Kluyveromyces lactis: one gene and its partners. The protein of the gene in region 1 interacts with the protein of each later gene in a biochemical or structural test. Links are inferred from orthologs where the notes say so. Each region holds a gene or a part of one and is shown in the gene's direction. Other genes may lie near its edges. The genes, in order: UBI4, CUE5, UBP2, DDI1, GTS1, SSM4 and OTU1.

Region 1 (3,040 bases):
TTCCTGTTTTTGTTTGTGCTGTCTCCCCTTTTCACTATCGATACGAGAAAAAAGTACAGAAATTGTTGCATTTTCTTCTAAATTCGACTAAATTAAATGCCGCTCAATCGCCTACGGCAGCCTACATGCCTATCAGAGAACTTCTTGGACTCCTTACTTAATGAAGTCCCTTTCCTCGGATGCTGAATGGAGAAAGACCATACAGCTCAATATGATGGAAAGTGTCACCTGAGTATACGACAAAGGCGTTAAGAACACCGCTATCATAAAAAGAGTCGAAAAAAAAGTGTCATCTAGGACTATAAGACAAGTAATATCGAAGAGATTCTGGGCAGTCCGAATTATCCCGCCAGGAACCTCAATGACAGAGATATTTGGCCTGGGTATGTTCCGGGAGCATCTGAAAGGTCAAGAATGAATTTAGGAGAAGCCAGGCAGATAAAATATGATGTATGTTACCCTGATTTAATCACGTGGATGACTTCGAGTCACTTTTTTCGTCTGTCTGTATCTTAGATTCTCCCCGCAAGTCTAAAAAAAAAGGATAAACTTCATTGTTCCATGAGTTTCCATGGTTACCTCTGCATATACACACTGTACTGCAGAAGGTATCAGTGGATACAAAGCGGTATGCTCTTTACTCTGAACAATCAAAGTTAGCAGTTCATTCCATATATCCCCGCTCTTCGTCATGCAATCATAAACCTCAAGTCATGGCGATCTGTAAGCCGGAGAAAAGATTCATTGCAAACAGTTAAAGATACAAGGCTGAAATACAGAGATGGCTGCAACGTAACAGATTCCAAACTGCCGGTTTTCCATCGAATTCCCTCTCGGGAAATTTTTCTTTTCAAACGGCCACCTTAGGCCGAGCGAAACTGATTACACTGGATGCTTTTATATAAATAGTGATCACTTGGGCGGCCGCCTTTTTTTCTCTCGTATTTGCCACTTCTGATTGTTCTTTCCCCCGTTTATTCTCTAAATACGTTTATCTTTTTCTAAGATATTATTCGGGTTAGATACTATTACTACCTATATCGCATTCATATATCTATTCTGAAAGTTTGGACAGCATAGCAGCTATCATTATTGTTCTTATTTTCATTTTTTGTGCTATATTCTCCGTTATTAGTAAGAACTGATAGGGAGATAAAATAAAAGAAATAAGCGAACAAGTTCCTTTTTTTTTAAAAAAAAAAGGGAGTATATATAAAAACAAAAGGGTTATTTTGGCAGTTTGTTTCCTGATATTATTAACAACATCATATTGGTTAAGAAGGAGCATCAAGAGTTTCTCTCATAGAAGATACTGACTCAAGGTTATACTATTTCACCCCAAATTATTTACCCCCCCCCCTCTCATTCCCCTTAAAACTAGATCAAGAGAAAACATGCAAATTTTCGTTAAGACTTTAACTGGTAAGACTATCACTTTGGAAGTTGAATCTTCTGACACCATCGATAACGTGAAATCGAAGATTCAAGACAAAGAAGGTATCCCTCCAGACCAACAAAGATTAATTTTTGCAGGTAAGCAGTTGGAAGATGGCAGAACCTTGTCTGACTATAACATCCAAAAGGAATCCACTTTACATCTTGTCTTGAGATTAAGAGGTGGTATGCAAATTTTCGTCAAAACCTTGACTGGTAAGACCATCACTTTGGAAGTCGAATCTTCCGACACCATCGATAACGTCAAGTCTAAGATTCAAGACAAAGAAGGTATCCCTCCAGACCAACAAAGATTAATTTTTGCAGGTAAGCAGTTGGAAGATGGCAGAACCTTGTCCGATTACAACATCCAAAAAGAATCCACTTTGCATCTTGTTTTGAGATTAAGAGGTGGTATGCAAATTTTCGTCAAAACCTTAACCGGTAAGACCATCACTTTGGAAGTCGAATCTTCCGACACCATCGATAACGTCAAGTCTAAGATTCAAGACAAAGAAGGTATCCCTCCAGACCAACAAAGATTAATTTTTGCAGGTAAGCAGTTGGAAGATGGCAGAACCTTGTCCGATTACAACATCCAAAAAGAATCCACTTTGCATCTTGTTTTGAGATTAAGAGGTGGTATGCAAATTTTCGTCAAAACCTTAACCGGTAAGACCATCACTTTGGAAGTCGAATCTTCCGACACCATCGATAACGTCAAGTCTAAGATTCAAGACAAAGAAGGTATCCCTCCAGACCAACAAAGATTAATTTTTGCAGGTAAGCAGTTGGAAGATGGCAGAACCTTGTCTGACTATAACATCCAAAAGGAATCCACTTTACATCTTGTCTTGAGATTAAGAGGTGGTATGCAAATTTTCGTCAAAACCTTGACTGGTAAGACCATCACTTTGGAAGTCGAATCTTCCGACACCATCGATAACGTCAAGTCTAAGATTCAAGACAAAGAAGGTATTCCTCCAGACCAACAAAGATTAATTTTTGCAGGTAAGCAGTTGGAAGATGGCAGAACCTTGTCTGACTATAACATCCAAAAGGAATCCACTTTACATCTTGTCTTGAGATTAAGAGGTGGCATCTAATGGTAAAGATTTATTTCATATTTCCGATTACTGGAGTGAAACTCGATAGGGAGTTTATTAACGAGCTTGAGACCACGCAAAGCCGTTGTATCATTTATACTCAATTCAATTTTTTTTTTTTTTGCATTTTTTTTTTTTCCTTACATTCTTTGGATAAAAAGTTTAGGGTCTTGTATATATTATATACATTTTCAGAGATACATAACAACTATGATAATGTTATAAATAGTAGAAGATAGTAATATATCATCCGTTGGCAATTTCTACTGAGATATTCCAATATTTAAAGCTTCAGCTTTCAATACTGAGGAGTCATCCACTCTAAGAATCTCCAAAATGCCAAAGTCGACCATGGTATTGGTGTGGGGGAACTTTTCTTTCAATAGCCCACCATACCTTATCAGCTTTATCTTGACACTTTCAATAACTTCTTTCTTGTTGCATAGAGCGTGGCCATATTTCCAGATATCAATGAAAATGTGAGATACATCATTTGAGGA
Region 2 (3,148 bases), on another chromosome or scaffold:
TGTGTCAACACTTGCAGCCTTGAATGAAAAGGGCAATAATATATCTCGAGTCATTGCCGGTTCTCAACGTTCTCCAATTGCGAATGATATCCCAGATAACTTACATGAATACACCTTGGGGAACTTGAAAATCTTGTGTATTAGAACACCTTGCCATACCCAAGATTCCACTTGTTACTACGTGCGTGACCCTGAAACCAAAGAACAAGCAATCTTCACCGGTGACACTTTGTTCACTGGTGGATGTGGGAGGTTTTTCGAAGGAACTGCTGAAGAAATGGACGATGCATTGAACTTCAGACTACTAGGGAATACAGGAGATACTTCCAATTGGAAGAATGTGAAAGTATATCCAGGTCATGAGTATACTGCAGGAAACGTAAGTTTCATCCGCAATTACATATACTTGAAGAAAAGCGATAACGACCATTTCAATAAATTGGAATCTTTTACCAAGGAACACGAAGTCACCACTGGTCACTTTACCATTGCCGATGAACTATCATTCAATCCCTTTATGAGACTTGATGATCCAATTGTTAGAAGACAAGTCGGAGATTCTCAAGGTTGTTGGACCAGAGCCCAAGTTATGGACAAGTTAAGAAACATGAAGAACAAGGCATGATACATGACATGTCCACACTATATGTATTTATTAAGTAACGCCTTACAATTCGTTTATGAGTGATCTACGGTAAAAAAATAGGCTTAAGTGAAAATGTGCGTGAAACATAGAGCGATCTTAGAAACCCATCCCAAAATTTTCGAGTCTTAAGAGCCTGGATGCAAAACATCCAGTTCATACGAACCAGCAAGCCGGCACGAATTCAGCCCTATGTTAAACTATATGCCAGAAAGTTTTTTTTAACCAACGGCATCTAATTTCTCTCTGTTGTCCACGCTCGACGATGTATCAGGTTAGAAGGACCCCTGATCGCCAAGTTCTTATCTAAACAGAGAATAATAAGATTCCGAGGAGTTAGGAAAAAAAAACAAATATATCAAGATCTATAAAGGTAAAATGACAGAGTGATATAGTATTAAGAGAGATTACAAGCACCTCTTTAAAGTCTTCCTCTTTATATAGTCCAAACTATTTTCTTCAACTTTGACGTGATGAGATGAAAAAGTGAAAAAAAATAAGGCCCTTACCCGGATAACCGAATGGACAGGATGATGTGGGAAAGAAATAGGAATTATAGGAAGAATATATATAGATTCTTTAGGACTGCAAAACCAGAACCCCTATTAGAACATATCCGTGCAGAATCTCGCCAATATTCAATTACAGAACCAACCAGGATATTAGAAGAAGATAAATTACAGGTGCAAATTCTTTTTGATTAGAAAGATCTAATATAACCATGAGTGACAAAGTTGAAGACGTCGCAATTGACGTTGATTCTAATGAAGACAAGAAGATCGAAGATGTCAAGGAAACAGTTGAAGAAGCGGCAACTAAGGCTTCAAATGTAGAAGCAGAAGTTCCAGCAGACACTGAAACCGAAACAGAGAACGTGAAAAAAGCTGAAAAACAGGAGGAAGGGCAAGATCACGGTCAGGAGGACGAGGACGATTCAGCACCTCCCTTGCCTGTAAGAAAATCGGTTTCTCCAGAAGAACAGAGTGAAAAGGAAAATCCTATGTTAAAACAATTGAAGGAAGCGTTCCCAAACATTGAGGAGAAATATGTGAAGGCAGTGTTAATTGCTTCTCAGGGCCAGTTGGATCCTGCTTTCAACGCTCTTTTATTCATATCGGACCCTGACTTTGAAAAAGAGGCTCCATTACCAACTAGACCGGTGCAAGCGCCAACTCGTGGTGTAAGACGTGAGCCAAAAACGCAGTTAGAGCAGGACGAAGAATTGGCTCGTCAATTGGATAAGAAATTCAACAAACATGGCAATAGCGCTTCGGAGAGAACCGCACGCGAGCGTAGAATCAGACAACGTGAACGTGATTACGAGAGGAGGTACGGAGCAGGTGCAATTCCACCAAAGGGAAGACGTGATTCTGACGGCTATGACAATTTCGAAGATGACGGTGAAGACGATGTGTTCAGTAATTTCGTCGATAAGGAGTTACCCCAGATTCGTGAAAATTTGAACCGTAATATCCAGGAAACTGGTAAAAAGATCAGTACATGGTTCAGTGGCATCACCAAGAATCTGGTGGATGACGATCCAAATTATTCCGAATCCCGTCCAAAATATTCTCAGTCGAGGTTTAACTCCTTCGGAGATCGTTACCGTGATGGCAATGACAACGTCGATGGCCAAACGAAATTACAAAATGCTGGGATCTCATTGCACAACGATGATCTAGATTTTGGATCTGATGACGATATCCCACCCCAATTACCATCAAGGGCCAAGAAAGTCGTAGCAGAGACAACATACATAGACACTCCAGAACAAGTAAGGGGTAAGAATAACCGTTCTCCTTTGAAAACCTTGGCACCGCACAGTGAATCTCCAACAAGATCCACACCCACTTCTAAATTAAACACAAGCACGGACAAAACTGCCTCAACCGAAGAAAAATCCGATGTAAAGCTTGTAACTCCAACTGCAAGCAATAAGAACACAGAAGGGCCAATCACGTTAGAAGATCAAGATATTATCACAGATTCTGATTTGGATATTTAATCGCAGGTTGTGTTTGTACAACTGACCACTACTTAAATATTATTTCCTCAAGCAACAAGACGTATATTTACTACTTCCAGAACACAGTTGTCACCACATCGAGTATTTTAAAAAAATTCAGCTATTGTTGTACATGTTTATCTTCAATTGAAATTTAAACTTTCAGATAATGTAGATAAGGTTAATAATGATATATCTCATCATCTCGAGGGGATACCTGTGTTTAGTTAGGTAAGACATTTTACATGAATCCACATTCAGTAATGATTCTTTTGATCCTTCAAAAGATAAAAAAACACACAAATCAAGATGTAATTGAACCATCACAACTGAACGTATTCAGAGACAAGAATATGTGTGGCACCTACCCTTCACTTATTCCTGTTCGTTCAATGTTCCAGCCACGTAGAGGAAACTCGGCTACTTCTTATGAAGGACATCATCTCATCCTCTTATATAGGAAAGACCAATAAAATTTTCAGTTTTTCCCTGTTACTAAA
Region 3 (3,978 bases), about 150 kb from region 1:
CAATGGATCCATTATTATCCTTGTCAAACACGCTAAACACATACGTAGCAAACTCATCTGGCGAGCCAAAGGGGAAAAATTGTTTGTATATCTTGATGAACTCTTCTCTAGTTAGCTGGCCGTTCGGGCAATCCCGTAGAAACCCTTTGTGCCACTGTTGGATCTCTCTGCGATCGAAATACGTAGATTGCTTCAAACTGGTCAAATCATTCTTTGAAAGTGTAGACGTTTTATTTCCCATCTTATTATTGTTATTCCATGGATAGTATATATCTTAACACTTACTGTGATCAAACGCCACTATAAGCTACCTATGATCAGTTTCGGAAAAGATATTGACTAGACCCTGAAGCTCTTCCTCCCTAAATTTTTCAACTCCTCATGCAACATCTTTTATATTGGTTTTTTTTTAATTATGTTTTTCTCTCTTCTGCAGTTTACAGATTTCGTTGTAGGAAAGTGGCTTGTGAAGTCCGTCATAGATGATTCTCTAAAAGTAACGATAGAAACAGTGACAGAGATGACCGTTCCTCTTCTACTTTGCTTGTTGGTGTTCAAGTAACGACTACTAAAATTCTTCAGATGCTCACTATGAAGCGGTGCCACTGATCGAACTATTTTTCCTCTTTTTAACTCAACGACTGCGTTTTAAAGTTCTGGATTTTATGAACCTATTTCAACATTCAAAGGTTGAATAGGTTACATTGAGTTATAAATTATAGTTTACGTAGTACTCAGAAAAACAAGTTGTAAAGCTGTTTCAGTCTTTTCGGAATAATAGCAATGCTGTTACATCAAACAGGGCATAGGTAATTTGAATAGAGGCCCTTTTTGACTCATTTTAATGCCCTTTGTACCGCCATAAATGCGTTTAAATTTAAAACTGTGAGTATAAATCCGTACACCACACACTCATTGTGGTTCTGTCTACAGATTTCCACTATTGACAAATTTTAAAGGGTAACAAAAGAATTAAGTAGAATCAGAATAGTAATTGCATTAAATTTTAAGGAAAACTAGATCTTCAATCCTTTGGCAAATGCATAATTAAAAATATCTATTTGCCACTTCTAGGCTCGTTCTAATACTCCCAGTGATTCAATTCTGATACATTTGACACGCTACAGTATATTGTGACAATTTGAGGATAGCTTGGCAGAGAATAGAATCTCGAATTGATGATGGCTTCACAAGAACCAGCTTTAGAATTGAATGGCGAACAGAGAGATTCTGTTTCGGAAACAGCAGAAGTACTGAGATCTAAGTCGTTGGAATCATTTTCAGATTTAGTAGACGATGGTAAGACGCTTTTGTACGGAGATATTTCGAAAAGTTTTCCGTTCAAAACATGCGATCGAATTTTAGATGACATTAGGATTTCACCATGGTTCTTGAAGAAGTTTGGTTCATCTGTGATGAAACAACCAATGCTTCAGTACTCGAGGGAAAGACAGCAATTGCAACCGTGGAACCTAGTGCATTTAATTGACCAGGTTAATTTGAGAAGCAGATATGATTATGATTCAATGACTTGTCCAGGGAAGAATACCATCAGTGTTATGTTCGCATTGCTGGTAGATCCGAATTTTACTCCTAATGACTTTGATGACATTGACAAGTTTCCTGAATACTTCTTTCATTTGAAGATTACTGTGAAAAGGAGATCATACTTGGAAAATTTCAATAGACACGTTGGGATAACTCATTATCATGTTTTAGAGCCTGAATCTTTACATCCATTCGACAAAAGGGATATCTTTATAATGGAAGAGAAAGACTGTAGATTAGTAGACCAAAGTATATTTGTTTCTGCTGATACTAATAAACTTATACTTGTTGAGATAATAAAACCAGAATTTAATTCAGAGAACCTAGCTGAATATCGAACAGCAAAAATTGAGGAAAGATATAAAAATGCATGTCAAGAATTTGATTTATTGAACCCGGACGATATTCCTAGCCAAGCCGAGTGTTTGAAAACTCTTTTCATGATATTTAAGAACCCATTACAGAGGAAATCTGCTAATAGTGAGTTTAAGATTATTTCCAGGGATAGTGTTGCACTCAACTCACAAATTAATACTGACTGGTTAACGACAATGTTTGATTTCAGTTTGCAGAAGACCGCTGTAGAAGATAATGTCCAATCTGGAGAGGAATATAAGCCACCAGATTTAGTTGATTATATCACAGATTTTAAGGTCAGAGGGATTAGAGAGGCGTATACCAGAAAATCCATGGAGGTTGTTTTAATTGGTAAGCAGTCGATGCTACTTGAAAATGAACTTGGTACTGAAAAGAAGACAGTGGCAAAGTGCTTTTCTAATCAACATTTTAGTGCCAGTCACACATGGTGGTTCAATATTTTGAACCACCAACACATTGAACCATTCCCCTACGACATAAATTACCATTTTATTAACCTATCTGTTGCTTTTAAGTACATCGATAAGGATATCATTAAAAACTATGAAACTCAAATTGCACTTGATCAGGAAAACATCAGCCATTATTTTGATGCTCTCCAATATGTAACAAACGCAAAGGGTAGTTACCAGCTTATTGCTTACTGTGGAAAACAAGATGTTGTTGGGTATGAAGATTTGAATAATGCATTACAGGTATTTGGTTTAGATCCAACTGACATTGACGCAAGCCTCCTTGATGCCAATACGATGATTGAATATTACAATTCTCATCTATTAAGGAGCTCTGATAATCAAAGAAAAGATCTAAGAAATGCCCTACGTGTGCTAGGAAAATATTTAGGTAGTCAAAAGATGTTGTTTTTGGTGGAGTATGAACCATATTATAATGTACAACAAGCTTACACTCTTTTAAAGGTAGACGAGACAGTAGATGATGATATTATCCAAACTGCATATACGATCAATATTGCTGATGCCCCTGGTTTGAAAAAAGATTATGATCGGGCGATTTTTACAATAGCACTAGATAGGCGCTCAATATTTCTTTTGAATGTCTTGACAGATGAATGTCCAGAATTTGCGCAATATTACAACTGCACTGACATATCATACGATGAAGCATTGAACATCATTGAAATTGACATGAATGCAAGCGACGATGTCATCCTTGAAGTTTTTCAAAAGAAATGGAGTCACGGAATTATGACAGGTCCTGATTATCTATTGAAGTTGAAAATGGCCCTTCAGAATATTGGTTTTACTAGAAATAGTAAACTTATCAACCACTTTTTAGACACCGGTATTGTGGACGTAAGTTGTCTTCCTGTTGCTACATGGCCAGCTGGAATCAATAATGTGGGAAATACATGCTACCTAAACTCACTACTTCAATTCTTTTTCACTATCAAACCTCTACGTGATTTTATTTTGAATTATGATGATGACTCTGCTAAATTACTGGATGCGTCTGAATATCACTCTAGAAGAAGAATTGGAGGCAGGGAGGTCAGCAAACAAGAAGAGCTTAGATCGGTCCAGTTTGTCTACCATCTTCGTGATTTGTTCAATGACATGATCCACACAAACAGTAGATGCGTCACGCCCACAAAAGAGTTGGTCTACTTAGCCTTTGCTCCGAGTAATGTCGAGGTGGAGTTCGGTGACGATACTGTTGCCCAGAAAGAACTCATCGACTTAACAACTGACGTCGTCGAAGACCCCACTGATACTACTCGTCACCTAGCGTCTTGTGATGATGATATCATAATGTGCCAGAGCCCGGTTGCGCTCCCCGAACATAAAACATCGTCAGAAGCAGGAACACAGCAATATTCCGTCCAAGTTGCTAAAATCAGTGCGGACCAACTTGAAAATACATTGGAGATCGGAAGACAACAAGATGTTACAGAATGTATAGGTAACGTCTTGGCTCAGCTTGAGATTGCTTCAGAACCTTTGAGCTTGGAAGACGACTTGGAACAGAATGATCTTGTCAAACAGTTGTTTTACGGTAGAATTAAACAGGACTTGATACCAGTCAATGATGAGG
Region 4 (3,220 bases), about 840 kb from region 1:
GTACTGCTCATGGTATGATGGGTCTTGCCACTTTACAAGTCACTCTAGGTATTTTTACCTTGTTATATTTGGTTCCAATCCCTCTAGCTTCTGCTCACCAAGCTGGTGCCTTGGCATTATTGACAGGTTCATTGTTGTTTGCTTCTCAATTGAGAAAACCAAGAGCCGCAATTAGAATCCTCACCGGTGGACTCTATACACAACAGCAAAAGGCCTCTTCTAAAATCTTAACTGAGGCTTCCAAACTTGCGAAGTGATCTTGGGAACTACGAATGGATCCTTTTTTTTCAATTATTTTCTTGTTTGTCCCCTTTACTTCCTATTTATTATAAACACTGGGCAGCACATTAAATGTTATCTTGTAAATATATATACTCAAAAGTTGCTACCAGTGAACTCCTACCTTACTTTAAAGTGTACTGTTTATACACAGCAATTACAATGCCTCTAATTATTACTTCGACATAAACCTTTTCTCATTATTGATGACAACTTCCATGTTAGTATCCGACATTCTCCAAAGAACGAACATAAATAACGTTCTATGGGGGCTAAATAAATCACCACAGAGCTCAACCACGTCTTCATCGTGGATTTTCCACTTGAAACTCTTGTGCTTTATTTTTGATTTCTTGATAAGAGTCCGCTTGCTGTGAAGCTTCTTTAAGATCTCTGGTCGTTGTTCCAAGTACCTTGAACATCCCCTTGCGATTCCCAAATCTTCAGCTGCAAATACATTTAAGCGATGTAAACCTGTAACTAAAAACATCTTCGCTGACCACGGTCCGATACCCTTGATATTTGCGACTAGCTCTTCGATGATTTTATCATCGTCTGCAAAGGCAAAGAGATCTTTTATAGAATCCTCGTTATTGAAAAAATATCCAACCAAGGACTCAATATACATCAGCTTCCTTTGAGATAACCCACATTCCTTAAAAGCTTGTTTCTTCTTCGAGTCTTGGAATGTTTCGTGCAGTGTCTGATAATTAGGAAAAGTTCCATCAAACATATCTACGATCCTGCCTCGAATATTCTTCGCAGCTGCACCACTGATCTGCTGTGAAATGATGCTACCTGCCAATTTATTAAAATAAAGGTCCATCGAATCCTTGGCCACATTTTCCTTGAGAAACATGGTGAAAGGACTATGCTCAATGATTTCTTTTAATGTGGGGTCAATAGTTAAGATATGTTCTATTCCATCACGGAATGAATCAATGTGCTGATCCAGATATTCTTGGTCCACATCCACCTTGAGGATATCATCCCTTGTCCTTTTCATTTCAATATAGCCTTGGCGACACTTTTGTCCGTTCTTTCTTTCTTTACTTTCGAGAAGTTGTTTTAAGGTTCTCTGACATATAAGATTCCTTTATTAATCAAGATCAACTTTAATTATCAATTATCACTTTATTCAATGGAAAATAAACACTAAAACTGAAAGTTACCATTACTAGGCAACCGTATCAGAGATGAACATCACCGTCACTTATGAGCACTCTGATGATGTCCTTGGACCTTTTGAATTGAGTGAAGATATGTCGCTTATCGACCTTTTCGCATTGATAGACTTTAAAGAGGAATCTCAGATCATATTTCACAACATGAAGCAACTTGACACTAAGAACACGAATATAACTTTGAAAGAGGCTGGCTTACAAAACCATGATATGCTTTTGATAAAACCTAAGAATCCCGCTAGTTCCCAGGCAGCTTTCGGTCAACCTCAGGAGATCGATTTGACGGATGAACAGTACATTGAACAGTTCAGGACTTTCCTATTAGAGAATCCAAGTATGGCTCAAGAGATGGGTCTTCCAAACTTAGAACATATGATAAATAATAAAACCCAATTTCATCAACTACTAGGTCCGGTGTTACTTTCCAGACGTGGTGAAAGATCAAATAACCCATTCGGTATCCCAAATTCTGAATACTCAAGATTAATGAGCAACCCTGATGATCCTGTGAATCAAGCACGGATTTCGGAGTTGACCAACCAACATGAGATTGATGAGCAATTACGATATGCGATGGAATATACTCCGGAGTCTTTTACCCAAGTGTCAATGTTGTATATAAAATTAGAAATCAATGGCCACCCAGTCAAAGCGTTCGTTGATTCTGGTGCTCAACAGACTATAATGTCAACAAAATTGGCAGAAAGAACAGGGTTGACCTCTCTAATTGATAAAAGGTTCAGTGGTATAGCTCAGGGTGTTGGTACGGGCAAAATTCTCGGGAGAATCCATACGACTCAAATCAAAATCCACGACGTGTTCTTGCCTTGTAGTTTTACCGTACTTGACACTCCAATGGAAATGTTGTTGGGTTTGGACATGTTAAGAAGACATCAGGCATCTATAGATTTGAAGAACAATGTATTGAGAATATCAGATGTTGAGACCCCATTCTTGCCTGAATCTGAAATTCCAAAGGACTCCCTTCATGCACTGACAACTCCAGCAGCTGACGAAGTAAGAAAGGCAGCGTTGAAGAGGGACTCATCTTCAGGAAAAAATGCTATGACTGGCGATGCAAACAAAGTCAAGCAGCCAAAGATTCCAAGTTCTACCACAAATCAAACTGTTCCATCGTTCGCAGAATCAGACATAAAAAAATTAGTGGATCTTGGTTTCTCTAGGAAAGAAGCTATCAATGCATTGAATAAAACTGGTGGAAACGTGGACTATGCAGCTTCCCTTTTGTTTCAATAAGCAGGTATTGACCCAAAACTCTGCGCGCAGACTATTCTCTCTATTAATACTGAAAGAGTATGTAATGTACACAAAGTAGTATCAGATAATATAACAATCAATCATCATGGAACCTAAGTGTTGGCAAAGGATCTTTTGAAGCGGATAGCTGCGGTGTTAGATCGAGGTTCTCATCGCTCTTTCCGTTCTGATGTTTCGCACCTTTATCCTGTTTCGAACCCGTGGCCCCATTGTGCTTAGATCTGACTATTATCCAAGACACTTTGTCCGAAGGTTTCACACCTTGAATATCTATCTCCAGATTGAAGTTCTCGATGAAGTTTCTTTCATGTATATTTATGCTAGACGTGTATGTCATGTACTCGTTGAATATCGATACAGTGCTCCAATAAGAGAGCTTTCGTAGACATGCTATGACTAGCGATGTGACTTCCGTGTTCGAGTTCGAACAATGGATGTAACAAGGATAATGGTTCTTGTCGATCAAAAACTTGATACAT
Region 5 (2,995 bases), on another chromosome or scaffold:
GTATTGTTTCAAATTGATTGAATTCATTAGGAAGCTCCAACTCAACTTTCAAATCAGACATTTGAACACAATACGTAGATGAGATATGCCCAGTGATGCAATCAATGTTATCTGCAAGACCTACAGCAAAACTTGCCTTTTCAAACAAATTATGTTTCTCCTGTTTGATGCGCTGTGGAGTCCAGTTATTTTTGGATAATTCTTCATATTTGGAGTTCAATTCACGAATTGTCTTTTGAACCTCTTTCAATTTACTTAGCTGTGCACTTCTTTTCCAGCCGCGTCTATTCTTCAACGTATCACTCCTCTGGCCTTGAATTTCCTTCTGATACAATTCCTGACACCGAGCAATTTCACTTTTCTCATGCTCTATTCTTTTCTCTATGTTACTGGCGTCGCTATTCAACTTATTTTGCATCTGATTTTTGAAAGACCAATACACGTTAATGTTCCCACACTTTTCCACACTGATCAATCCATCTTCATCAATCATCTTTTGTACTAATACCTTCACTAACATGGAAGATATGCCACATTTCTTGGGGATATATTTCTCTAATTCCTTCATGTTGTATACGGTATGTTCTTCTTGGAAAAACCTTAGGATACGTGCTTTTTTCTCGGCAAGCGAAACGGTATTCTTACCTGGGGCCATGTTGAATTATTTGAACCTTTTAATAGACTTAATTGAAGCTGATGTCTTTGATGTGATGATGGTTCTTCTTCTGTTTGTTTTTAACCGCTGAACCTTGATAAAAATATATAAAAGAAGACGAAATGTCATTTTCCATGGGGAAATTTATAAACAGTAACATATTTTGGTGAAAGAAGTATCAGAATCGAGAGTAATTGAATCAATTCAGAGATGCCATATTAATAGCCATGGTTGCTTATAATTGGGGAGGCGGTTAGCTGCTATATACGAAACATTAAAATAGATCCTATTCTCCGGCTAAATGACAGACCACGTGAGAATAAACTCTCCTGAGGCAATATGATAGTACATAGCTTAAGCCTGTCTATCACGTCATTATTCAAAAGGTATCCAAGATGGTATATCGTACTGACTGCTTCCAATAGACTTACGTTTGTTGAACAAAAATAGCTCTTGAAATATTCTATGCGGTTGAAATTCCGAACAGGAACAGAAGTTCTATGAATGAACGAAGCATAAAATGGTGAAAGTGAAGAACGGATATTGAAAATAAAAAAAAATACTTCATATTATAAGATTATAAAGACCCAACGCTAGAATTACGTTTATATCAAATAGGGGTCCCAAATTGGACTAGTCGAGTTTAGGTAAGGTTTATTGAGGAGATACTGAAGCGAGGAAACCAAAAATGAGACGATCAAGAGGTGAATCTGTAGAACATGATTTAAAGTTTTTGCTTAACGCTGGTGAGAATTCAAATAAATGTGGTGAATGTGGGACACCATTCCCTACCTACTGTTCAGTGAACTTGGGTGTATTCTTGTGCGGTCGGTGTGCTTCCGTACATAGGAAAGTGTTAGGCAGCAGAGAAGATGGTGCTACTAGTATCGTGAAATCTTTATCTCTTGATAGATGGTCTAAGCGTGACGTTCAAACTGTTGCCGATCTTGGAGGAAACAAACATAACAGCAGTTTTTGGAACCCTAAGAAAGAACCTTTCCCATTTGACGGTGACGAGGATCGTACTGCCGTTGAAATGTTTATCAGGGATAAATATTTAAAGGGTAAGTTCAGACATACCGCTGTCAAGGTGGAAGATTTCAATCTAGAGGATGATTCGTCACAATTGGACTACAAGTCATCCCGCCCATCATCTGCGTCCGGGTCCAGAAGAAACCGTTCTGCCTCATCTGCCAGCAGTAGACCAAGATCAAGAGAAGGAGACAGACCTCCGCTTCCAAAAAGGCCGGACAACAAAGTGCAAGAAGCCGTTTTCGATGGAACAAGTGAACCAAGCCTACCTAGTACAGCATCGGCAGAACCTCGCCCAGCAGTATTCGATGGGGTACAACAATACTATGATCCAACTACCGGCCAAATTTATGTAGATCAAAACTCCTATGCGGCAATGCAGCAGGCCCAGGTACAAGCATTGGCACAACAAGTTCAACCTCAGTTTACACAACAGGTTCAACCTCAGTTTACACAACAAGTGCAACCCCAATTCACACAGCAATTACAACCTCAGTTCACCCAACAGGTACAGCCTCAATTCACTGCTCAACCATCGATAGATAAGAACACACTATTATCACTGTATCAAAGACCAGATTTATATTCTAGTGCCGTAGAAATCAAACCGGATAATCCACAATACCAACAGATCCTGAATCTCCAAAAACAACAGCAGGACCAACAACAGCAGCAACAGCAACTGCTACAACAACAGCAGCTACAACAGCAGCAACAGCAACAGCTCCTGCAGCAACAACAGTTACAACAAATGCAATACCAACAACCACAACAGTACCAACAACAATTCTACCCCCCATTCCAATAGATCATCATCCCTTGGCCTTCTTTGCAGCTGCAGCTGCAACTGCACATCTGCTACCGCACTACGGTTTAATCTCTCATACCTATGTTTGCCTATATAATACGTAAATATGGCTAAAACCAAAACACCGCTACAACTAATATCTAACTTTGTCTTCCTCCTCTGACGTTTCACAACGTCTGCTATACACTCTTATCCGGAACATCCACGATCTACTTACTACCTAGCTATCACCACTATTATCTTACTGACCATCAAAAAAAAAACCTCCCATTGACTCATAACCAATCATATCTTATTTGCACTTAACGAGCGTTTTCTTAAAACCGTTCCACCAAGCACCAGTGTCTTTCCACTGCCTTTACTGTGTACGTTTTCTGCGATATATCTGTCTTTCCTTCTTTGTTTCTTTATTTCTATATAAAGTTCAAAATGACTTATTACAAACTAAGTTTTGATCCTTAAAAACCATTTATAAGAAATAAGAACGCCCCCCCTTGTAA
Region 6 (3,970 bases), on another chromosome or scaffold:
TGGTATGTTCGATTTGTAATCATCCAATCGCGTTCCAAACTTTGTATGATGAATCAATGCCAGAGAAGATCCCACTTCTACTTCTTCTGAAACATAGCGTTTTCAAAATCTTTGGCAAATTAAATCACTATTTCAAATTCACATTGATTGCGTTCCTTTTCTTCATTGGAATTCCCCTGTCCTGGAATATCTGGGGGAAGCTATATACGGCTACTGTGGATGATTTTTCATTTCCTTCAAATAACAAATGGTATATCAATTTGATTTATGGCTTTGAAAGAAACATACCAAAAAATCCAACAACTACGGATATTTTATATCAACTAGTGATAAATTACAGATTTTCGTTGTTACAAATTCTGATGGTTTTGATCGTGCATGCTATCGCATATTTACAATATGATATGGTAGTCAGAGAGCCAATTTTCAATAAGATGATCTTGCATAAGATTGGACCAAGATTTTCAAAACAAGAGCTGGCCATGCAGTCATTAAGAGAAAGATTTCCAAATATGGATCCAAATGATATAAGCATGCTCATAAATGCCCTCAATAGACAACGACAAGACGATCCAAATGAAGATGATACTTCAGAAGACGAACAAGAACAGAACAATTTCATCGTAAACGAAAATAATGATGAGCCTCAGCTTGCCAACTAACTATAATCCCCCATTTAAATATTTACGATATTGATAATCTTCATATTGAAACATTGCATCAGCCTTCACTCCAGTTCGAAATAAACTTCTATATACAATATAATTCCCTCGTTGTCCCATCAAATCATTCACTTGCTTTAGTAAAACATGCTAGCCCATTAGATTCTCAAAGATGAATTTGGTATTACCCGGCTTATAATGGAAATTGAAATTTGAAGAAGGAAATTTCAACATGGGCGCAGACAATCAGTATATACATCGTCGACTGATCTCGTTTCACAACTAAGTACAACAGGTTAACAATATTTAATCTTTGCTACAATTGTATAGCTGTTGAAGTTGAATAATTATATCATAGAAACTGAATCTTCAACTTGAGTTTTCCGCATTAGATCCCTGCATTACTCTTTTCTTCTGATCACAATATCATATTTCTTCTGCAACATATTCATATCATTACCAATTAGCTGAGTTATTAATCGACTGTACTTTTAATTCACAATCCATTATGGAAAGACACTTTGCACAAAGAGAACTCGATGGGCGGTTGGATGCTCAACTCGGACGACCTCAGCCTGTTGAAGGAGAAGTACAAGAAGATGGAATAAATGCTCAACCAGCGGTTGTACTAGAGAATGAAGATGGTCAACCTACGGCTATCTTGAATTTAAATCTTGATTACAAATATTTACCGAGCTACTTTTCCTTAGTCTTTTCTGTCATTGGTGGATATCTTTTCATTTCATACGCTTTAGCCACACTTGTCGGATATCTGTTGAATTTCATTTATTTTAGAGTTGTGATTATAATGCTGAATGGAGTAATAGTGTCAGCAGAGAGGTTAAATATCCCAGAATACAATCAAAAGCTTATAGAAACTTTTTCTTTGGTATCCTACGTTGAAAATTGGATTAATGGGACAGTTTTAATGCCAATAGTATCGTACTATCAGGGATACATGAAAGGCACAGCAAAACATACGATGCTGGTACGAATGTTGGCGCCAGCCAGTACATATGCGACTTTCATAGTTCTTTGTTGCTGTATACCAGAACTGTTATCTAGAGGGCATTCCAAGAAGCTACCTCTAAAGAATTCTTTGAAAAGAACGATTTTCAAGTTTTCCTATATCATCAAGTGCACATTGAAAGTGCTAGGGTTGTTTACACTTGAACTTGCCGGATTTCCGATTTTAGCGGGGTTTTTGATTGATGTGTCACTGATCTCACCGCTATTATTACCACAGAGCAGCTTGACTTTCGTACCGAGTTTTTGTTCCTTTTGGCCGCCTATGACATTTATTATTTATTGGGCGATTGGTACTGTTTATATGTATCATTTTGCTCAATATGTCGGCATGGTAAGACAATATATTATCAGACCGGGTGTTCTTTTCTTCATAAGATCACCAGATGATCCTAATATTAAGCTATTACAGGATTCTTTGATATACCCAATGAAACTTCAACTCTCCAGACTTGCATTGTCGATGGCAATCTATACAGCATTCATTTTAGTAGGTTTTGGATTTCATACGAGACTTTTGTTTCCTTACATTTTACATTCGGAACTTTTACCTATGAAGCATGGATTGTCAACTCTCATAAAACCAAATTCTATGTTTTCTATTGCAGTCATTGCTGGAACGTATCTCATTCTCTCGAAGAATAGAGTTATTGATGCTTATGTTAGACAATATTGGGTCTTTGTATTCAATATATGCTGCAGAAAACTAAGACTTTCCTCTTTCATCTTAGGAAAAGATTCACCAACTGAGAGAGGACATGTTATTTATAGGAACTTTTACTATAAATGGTTCGTCCCAAACAAGGCAAAACTGTCCAACCTAGAATTATACTCTCATCCAAAATCGCTCGATGAAACCTATACTCTTTTCAAAACTATTCCTGATGTTCACGCATATTTTGTCCCCGATGGCACCATGATGCGCGTACCTGCGAGCGACATAATATCAAAAAAATATGCACAATTGTTGTTCGTCCCAGTTACTAAGGATGACAAACTTCTAAAGCCATTGGATATCGAAAAAATCAAAGAAAGACAGAAACGAAATGCCGGAGAATTTGGCTACCTAGAAAAACAGCCCACGGAATTTGATGAATATAAGGTAGTTTATGTCCCTCCGCATTTTACTTTCACTTATTCGCTGTTAATTGTCTTCATATGGATCTTTGCTTCCCTTTTGTTTACTGCTGTGTTATTAATCTCAAATTTTGCTGGGCTTCCCATTATCACTGGATTGCAATTATTGTTGAATGCGGTTATCCCCCCAGCAATGAAATTTCAAAATGAACTCTATGAAAGTGTAAAACCATTAAATCTTCTTTCCGTTTCTTCTGGTATGATACTTTTGTCTCTCGCTTTGTCATCCTACCACGCACATCTATTAAATAATATCCATCTAAATGACAGAATATTGGAGGTTAATGCCGAACACAATGGGGATGTTCCAAATAACGGTCCAAACGACGATAATCATCAGCATATAGTTCACAATGATGATAATATTCCCGAAAATGATGAAAATCCAGTAGCCAATGAATTTAGAGTACCGGAAATTGCTGAAGGTGATGTTTGGAACTTGATCAAAGGCTTTGTAACAATGGTGTATCCAGTCTTTACATTCTACTTTATGCCAATCATTTTCAAGTTGAATATCAATTATCATTCGGTCTTCATATTCACCTACTTCAAAGATTTCTACTGGAAAGGCGACGTTCTCGAAAACACAAGCCCTGATATATCGTTTGTTCCATTCCTTTCGAACCTCGCATCAAAATCAGAATACAGCGGCTATTCAGCTTACTCATTAATAGCTGCTCTATTGTTTTGTCAAGTAGCAGCAGTGGCGTACATCGCGGTACAGTGCAGTTTGAAGCGGAATAAAACATTAGGATTCAGAAGATTACTCATTAGGGTCACGGATATATGCTTTGTGTACCTCGTTGCAATGATTGCGGTACCTTTTGCTCTGCAATATAGTTTTTCTATGTTTGAATTCCTTACCCACAAACAAGTTTACACCTCTTCATGGGCACCATTTGTTTATTTCATTTTCATACAGCCTTCTGTCTCGGCAGATCATTCCCTTATGACTACATTTCAAAAGGCATTCTACTACGTTGATGTAGTGACGATTTCCTCGGCGTTCCTAACTGTGAGCTCAATTTTATCCAAGTCGCTTTACAATTCTTTATCTCAAAGTGTGAGAGACGAAGTGTATGCAAGAGGAAGGATACTAAAAAACTTTGAAGAATAGTTTGATCAGTCAAGATGTCTTTATAGAT
Region 7 (2,847 bases), on another chromosome or scaffold:
GATGAACACGAATAGTGCTTCCGTGATTGAGGAGATTAAAGATATACTCAATGTTTACAACGAACTTCCAATGTCCAACGAGGAATGACAGTTTAGTAAAGATATGACCCTAACATGAAATGAGAGGTTCTAGTCTTCATCATCCGAAACACTGTATCTGGTATCTAGTTCAAAGGTAATAACATTTTTCTCATAGTATTTGTAACATTTATGAATATCTGTAATGACTGATGATGAAACTGAAATGCGTAAATGTTAAACGCGGAAAACAAGGTAAAATTAGTGTATAGGTGACTATATGCAAGGAGATGCTAAATTAGTAAAGATAAATCTATAATGCTGGCATGGTATATGTGACCGACGTGGATGTCGCATTGAGTTCTGGTAATTCGGGATATTCATTGTTAGAGTCTGACTGTGCTGAAAAATGCTTTGAACTGTGATTAAACCAACTTATAGATTGGTTGAATTTTTGTTCATCAAAGGAACTCGGAAGATTAATTTCATCCGAAGGATTTGTCGTCATGACAGCCGGCGATCTCACGTAGGTCGATGTCGCAACATTGTTTGCCAATGACTTGTATCTTGCATCTATTTTGATTTTCAATTCCTCAGTAATCTTCATGATAGCAGGGACTTCCAACTTCAGCAGTTGGAAGTATTCTCTTTTGTATAACGATTCCACTGATGTGTTAACTTCTGAATGATGCACAAGTCTATTCAGACAAAGATCTAAGTATCTAATATAAAGAAGATATGCGCGCTCCATATTATTGCACCTGGCACTATTTTGAGCTTCCTCGACAATGCTAATGCAAGTTGTCAGATACAATTTCAGAGGCACATTTGAATTGAATCTATAATTAAGAGCTTCTTGCTTTAAGTGTGAACTGGATTTCATTGTATCAGATGGAGTAGCAGTGTTTAATTAATTCGGGTACCGTATATTCTTTCGAGTAAAAGGAAAAAGCTGGGATTTAAAAAGATTATTCAGTTTAACGGGTTCTTCTCCTATTTTCCAAATCGCATCTATAACTCAAGCTGACACAACGCTTGCCCAACAGCAGCTGATCCACCACTGGTGCCAATAAACTAAAAGTTCCATTATTTCTTCATGCACTCAACCTGTCATCTCATCTCATCTCGTTGTGGTTTTGACGTTTACTGTTCTTGCATGCAAAGAAAAATGTTTGCTGTGATGTACGGGTTAATTTCACTTGAGCATGTGATCTGTTTTTGGAATCCTCTAAGTGCCTAAGCAATAAGGGGAAAATCGGATAGAACAACAGACTATCTATCCATCCCCAAGAGGATAGCCATAGCATTTCCATATATATCTGTCGAATAACCACCGCTAAACGAGACTTAATATATTTCCTATTCGCAGATGAGGGTCAAGGTATCTATTTCTGGGAAGAGCGACAAAGTTTTAACTGTCGAAGCCGAATGTGATTTGGAAACATTTCAGGGACTCATTCTGTCCTCATATGAAGATGATCTATCATTGCAGAGTATGCGGTACGGATTCCCACCTCAGAGTATACTTTTTCAGGGGAATGAGGCTAAGACACTTGAAGAGCTAGGAATATGCAATGGGGAACGGATCATAGTGAGCCTGAGTAAAGCCGATGAAGCTATTGCCACCAGAACACAACCAAGTATTAATGCCAGTAAAGCAAATACACTACCCAATAAAGAAGTGAAAAAGAAGCCCACTGGTAAATCTGAAAGTGTACAGATAGATTCAACTAGAGCACTACAACTCCATGAAGTGCCCGATGACAATTCGTGTCTATTCCATGCTATATCCTATGCTGTCTACAAGAACATTTCACTGTCATCAGAACTACGGGGAGTTGTGGCGTCAGAAGTCCGGAGAGACCCATTTGAATATTCAGATGCTATTCTTGGCAGGCCGAATCATGAATACAGTGAGTGGATAATGAAACATTCTTCATGGGGAGGTGGTATCGAGATTGCAATATTATCGAAACATTTTCAGTATGCGATATACGTGCTCGATGTGGATGCACGTAAATTCGAGAAATTCAACGAGGATTTATACGATAAATTTATTATTATAGCATATAACGGAGTTCATTATGATACGGTAGAGATATTTGATGGAACTCAGCATCAAACTGTATTTGACATCGGAGAGAAAGATACTGAATTCCTTTTACAAAAAACACAGGAGATCGCGAAGAAGATGAAAAGAGAGGGGAAGTCTTTCAATACTGCAAGAGATTCAATTTTATGCAATACTTGTGGCACCACCTTGATTGGAGAACGAGAGGTGAGCAAGCACGCTGAGAAAACTGGTCATGTTGATTTTAGGCAAAAATAAAACAAATATAACCATTGAATAATATTGAAGAAAGAAATAGCACTTAATATATGAGCGTCTGTATATCTACCAGTTTATATAATTGCACTTTCGGTGTATTTCTCTTGTGTTAAATGATAATATACATTGAAGAAAAAGCACAGGAAGTGAAAATGTTTTCCTGCATCTAATCAGCCATTTGAATTTCCCCTTCAGCAACTACAGCTTCTTGCTGTGCTTGTTCCTGTACTGCACCATCAAGGTATGGCAAAGTGGATTCTGTTGTGCTGACGTTGGCCAAAGTGGTATCAAGATGTGAGGTTAATATCTTTTCGTTTTCCTCCTTTTGAGGACCAATTTGAGATTTGATCTGCTCTACTCTAGCCAAGAACGAGTTCACACCACACCCAACAGCAGCATCTGCTACCTGTTGAGTGTATGGAACACCTTTCAATTCCTTCACCCTTCTCTTATGGATTTTAGTCTTCAAATGAGTCTTTAAGGCATATGCAGTTTCGAAA

What was found.
Region 2: the proteins of UBI4 (region 1) and CUE5 form a complex in vitro, tested with the Saccharomyces cerevisiae proteins (5 studies listed by BioGRID). The link is inferred for Kluyveromyces lactis from reciprocal best matches to the Saccharomyces cerevisiae genes UBI4 and CUE5.
Region 3: of the proteins of UBI4 (region 1) and UBP2, one has a biochemical effect on the other in vitro, tested with the Saccharomyces cerevisiae proteins (3 studies listed by BioGRID, with this or other methods). The link is inferred for Kluyveromyces lactis from reciprocal best matches to the Saccharomyces cerevisiae genes UBI4 and UBP2.
Region 4: the proteins of UBI4 (region 1) and DDI1 form a complex in vitro, tested with the Saccharomyces cerevisiae proteins (8 studies listed by BioGRID, with this or other methods). The link is inferred for Kluyveromyces lactis from reciprocal best matches to the Saccharomyces cerevisiae genes UBI4 and DDI1.
Region 5: the proteins of UBI4 (region 1) and GTS1 form a complex in vitro, tested with the Saccharomyces cerevisiae proteins (2 studies listed by BioGRID). The link is inferred for Kluyveromyces lactis from reciprocal best matches to the Saccharomyces cerevisiae genes UBI4 and GTS1.
Region 6: of the proteins of UBI4 (region 1) and SSM4, one has a biochemical effect on the other in vitro, tested with the Saccharomyces cerevisiae proteins (2 studies listed by BioGRID). The link is inferred for Kluyveromyces lactis from reciprocal best matches to the Saccharomyces cerevisiae genes UBI4 and SSM4.
Region 7: of the proteins of UBI4 (region 1) and OTU1, one has a biochemical effect on the other in vitro, tested with the Saccharomyces cerevisiae proteins (3 studies listed by BioGRID, with this or other methods). The link is inferred for Kluyveromyces lactis from reciprocal best matches to the Saccharomyces cerevisiae genes UBI4 and OTU1.

Annotation. Positions count from the first base shown.
Region 1 is NC_006041.1:74,448-77,487, reverse strand, and holds UBI4 (ubiquitin), read left to right. Parts: upstream 1-1,394; coding exon 1,395-2,540; downstream 2,541-3,040. Other genes in the region: ECM29 (Ecm29p), read right to left, coding at 2,804-3,040. UniProt on the Saccharomyces cerevisiae protein: Ubiquitin exists either covalently attached to another protein, or free (unanchored).
Region 2 is NC_006042.1:1,483,883-1,487,030, reverse strand, and holds CUE5 (ubiquitin-binding protein CUE5), read left to right. Parts: upstream 1-1,364; coding exon 1,365-2,648; downstream 2,649-3,148. Other genes in the region: hydroxyacylglutathione hydrolase GLO4, read left to right, coding at 1-625. UniProt on the Saccharomyces cerevisiae protein: Connects the ubiquitin pathway to autophagy by functioning as a ubiquitin-ATG8 adapter and thus mediating autophagic clearance of ubiquitin conjugates under starvation conditions.
Region 3 is NC_006041.1:219,510-223,487, reverse strand, and holds the start of UBP2 (ubiquitin-specific protease UBP2), read left to right. Parts: upstream 1-1,178; coding exon 1,179-3,978. Other genes in the region: FRQ1 (frequenin), read right to left, coding at 1-241. UniProt on the Saccharomyces cerevisiae protein: Has an ATP-independent isopeptidase activity, cleaving at the C-terminus of the ubiquitin moiety in natural or engineered linear fusion proteins, irrespective of their size or the presence of an N-terminal extension to ubiquitin.
Region 4 is NC_006041.1:910,648-913,867, reverse strand, and holds DDI1 (Ddi1p), read left to right. Parts: upstream 1-1,475; coding exon 1,476-2,720; downstream 2,721-3,220. Other genes in the region: COX15 (Cox15p), read left to right, coding at 1-257; MAG1 (DNA-3-methyladenine glycosylase II), read right to left, coding at 455-1,285; OCA6 (protein-tyrosine-phosphatase), read right to left, coding at 2,818-3,220. UniProt on the Saccharomyces cerevisiae protein: Aspartic protease. Appears to act as negative regulator of constitutive exocytosis. May act at the level of secretory vesicle docking and fusion as a competitive inhibitor of SNARE assembly.
Region 5 is NC_006039.1:1,495,902-1,498,896, forward strand, and holds GTS1 (Gts1p), read left to right. Parts: upstream 1-1,343; coding exon 1,344-2,495; downstream 2,496-2,995. Other genes in the region: MND1 (Mnd1p), read right to left, coding at 1-655. UniProt on the Saccharomyces cerevisiae protein: Appears to modulate the timing of budding to obtain an appropriate cell size independent of the DNA replication cycle. Transcription factor involved in both heat resistance and flocculation.
Region 6 is NC_006042.1:2,566,262-2,570,231, reverse strand, and holds SSM4 (E3 ubiquitin-protein ligase SSM4), read left to right. Parts: upstream 1-1,170; coding exon 1,171-3,942; downstream 3,943-3,970. Other genes in the region: KLLA0_F27709g (uncharacterized protein), read left to right, coding at 1-662. UniProt on the Saccharomyces cerevisiae protein: E3 ubiquitin-protein ligase which accepts ubiquitin specifically from endoplasmic reticulum-associated UBC6 and UBC7 E2 ligases, and transfers it to substrates promoting their degradation.
Region 7 is NC_006040.1:484,366-487,212, forward strand, and holds OTU1 (ubiquitin-specific protease OTU1), read left to right. Parts: upstream 1-1,387; coding exon 1,388-2,347; downstream 2,348-2,847. Other genes in the region: LAM6 (Lam6p), read left to right, coding at 1-88; RFU1 (Rfu1p), read right to left, coding at 332-901; BUD20 (Bud20p), read right to left, coding at 2,514-2,847. UniProt on the Saccharomyces cerevisiae protein: Hydrolase that can remove conjugated ubiquitin from proteins and may therefore play an important regulatory role at the level of protein turnover by preventing degradation.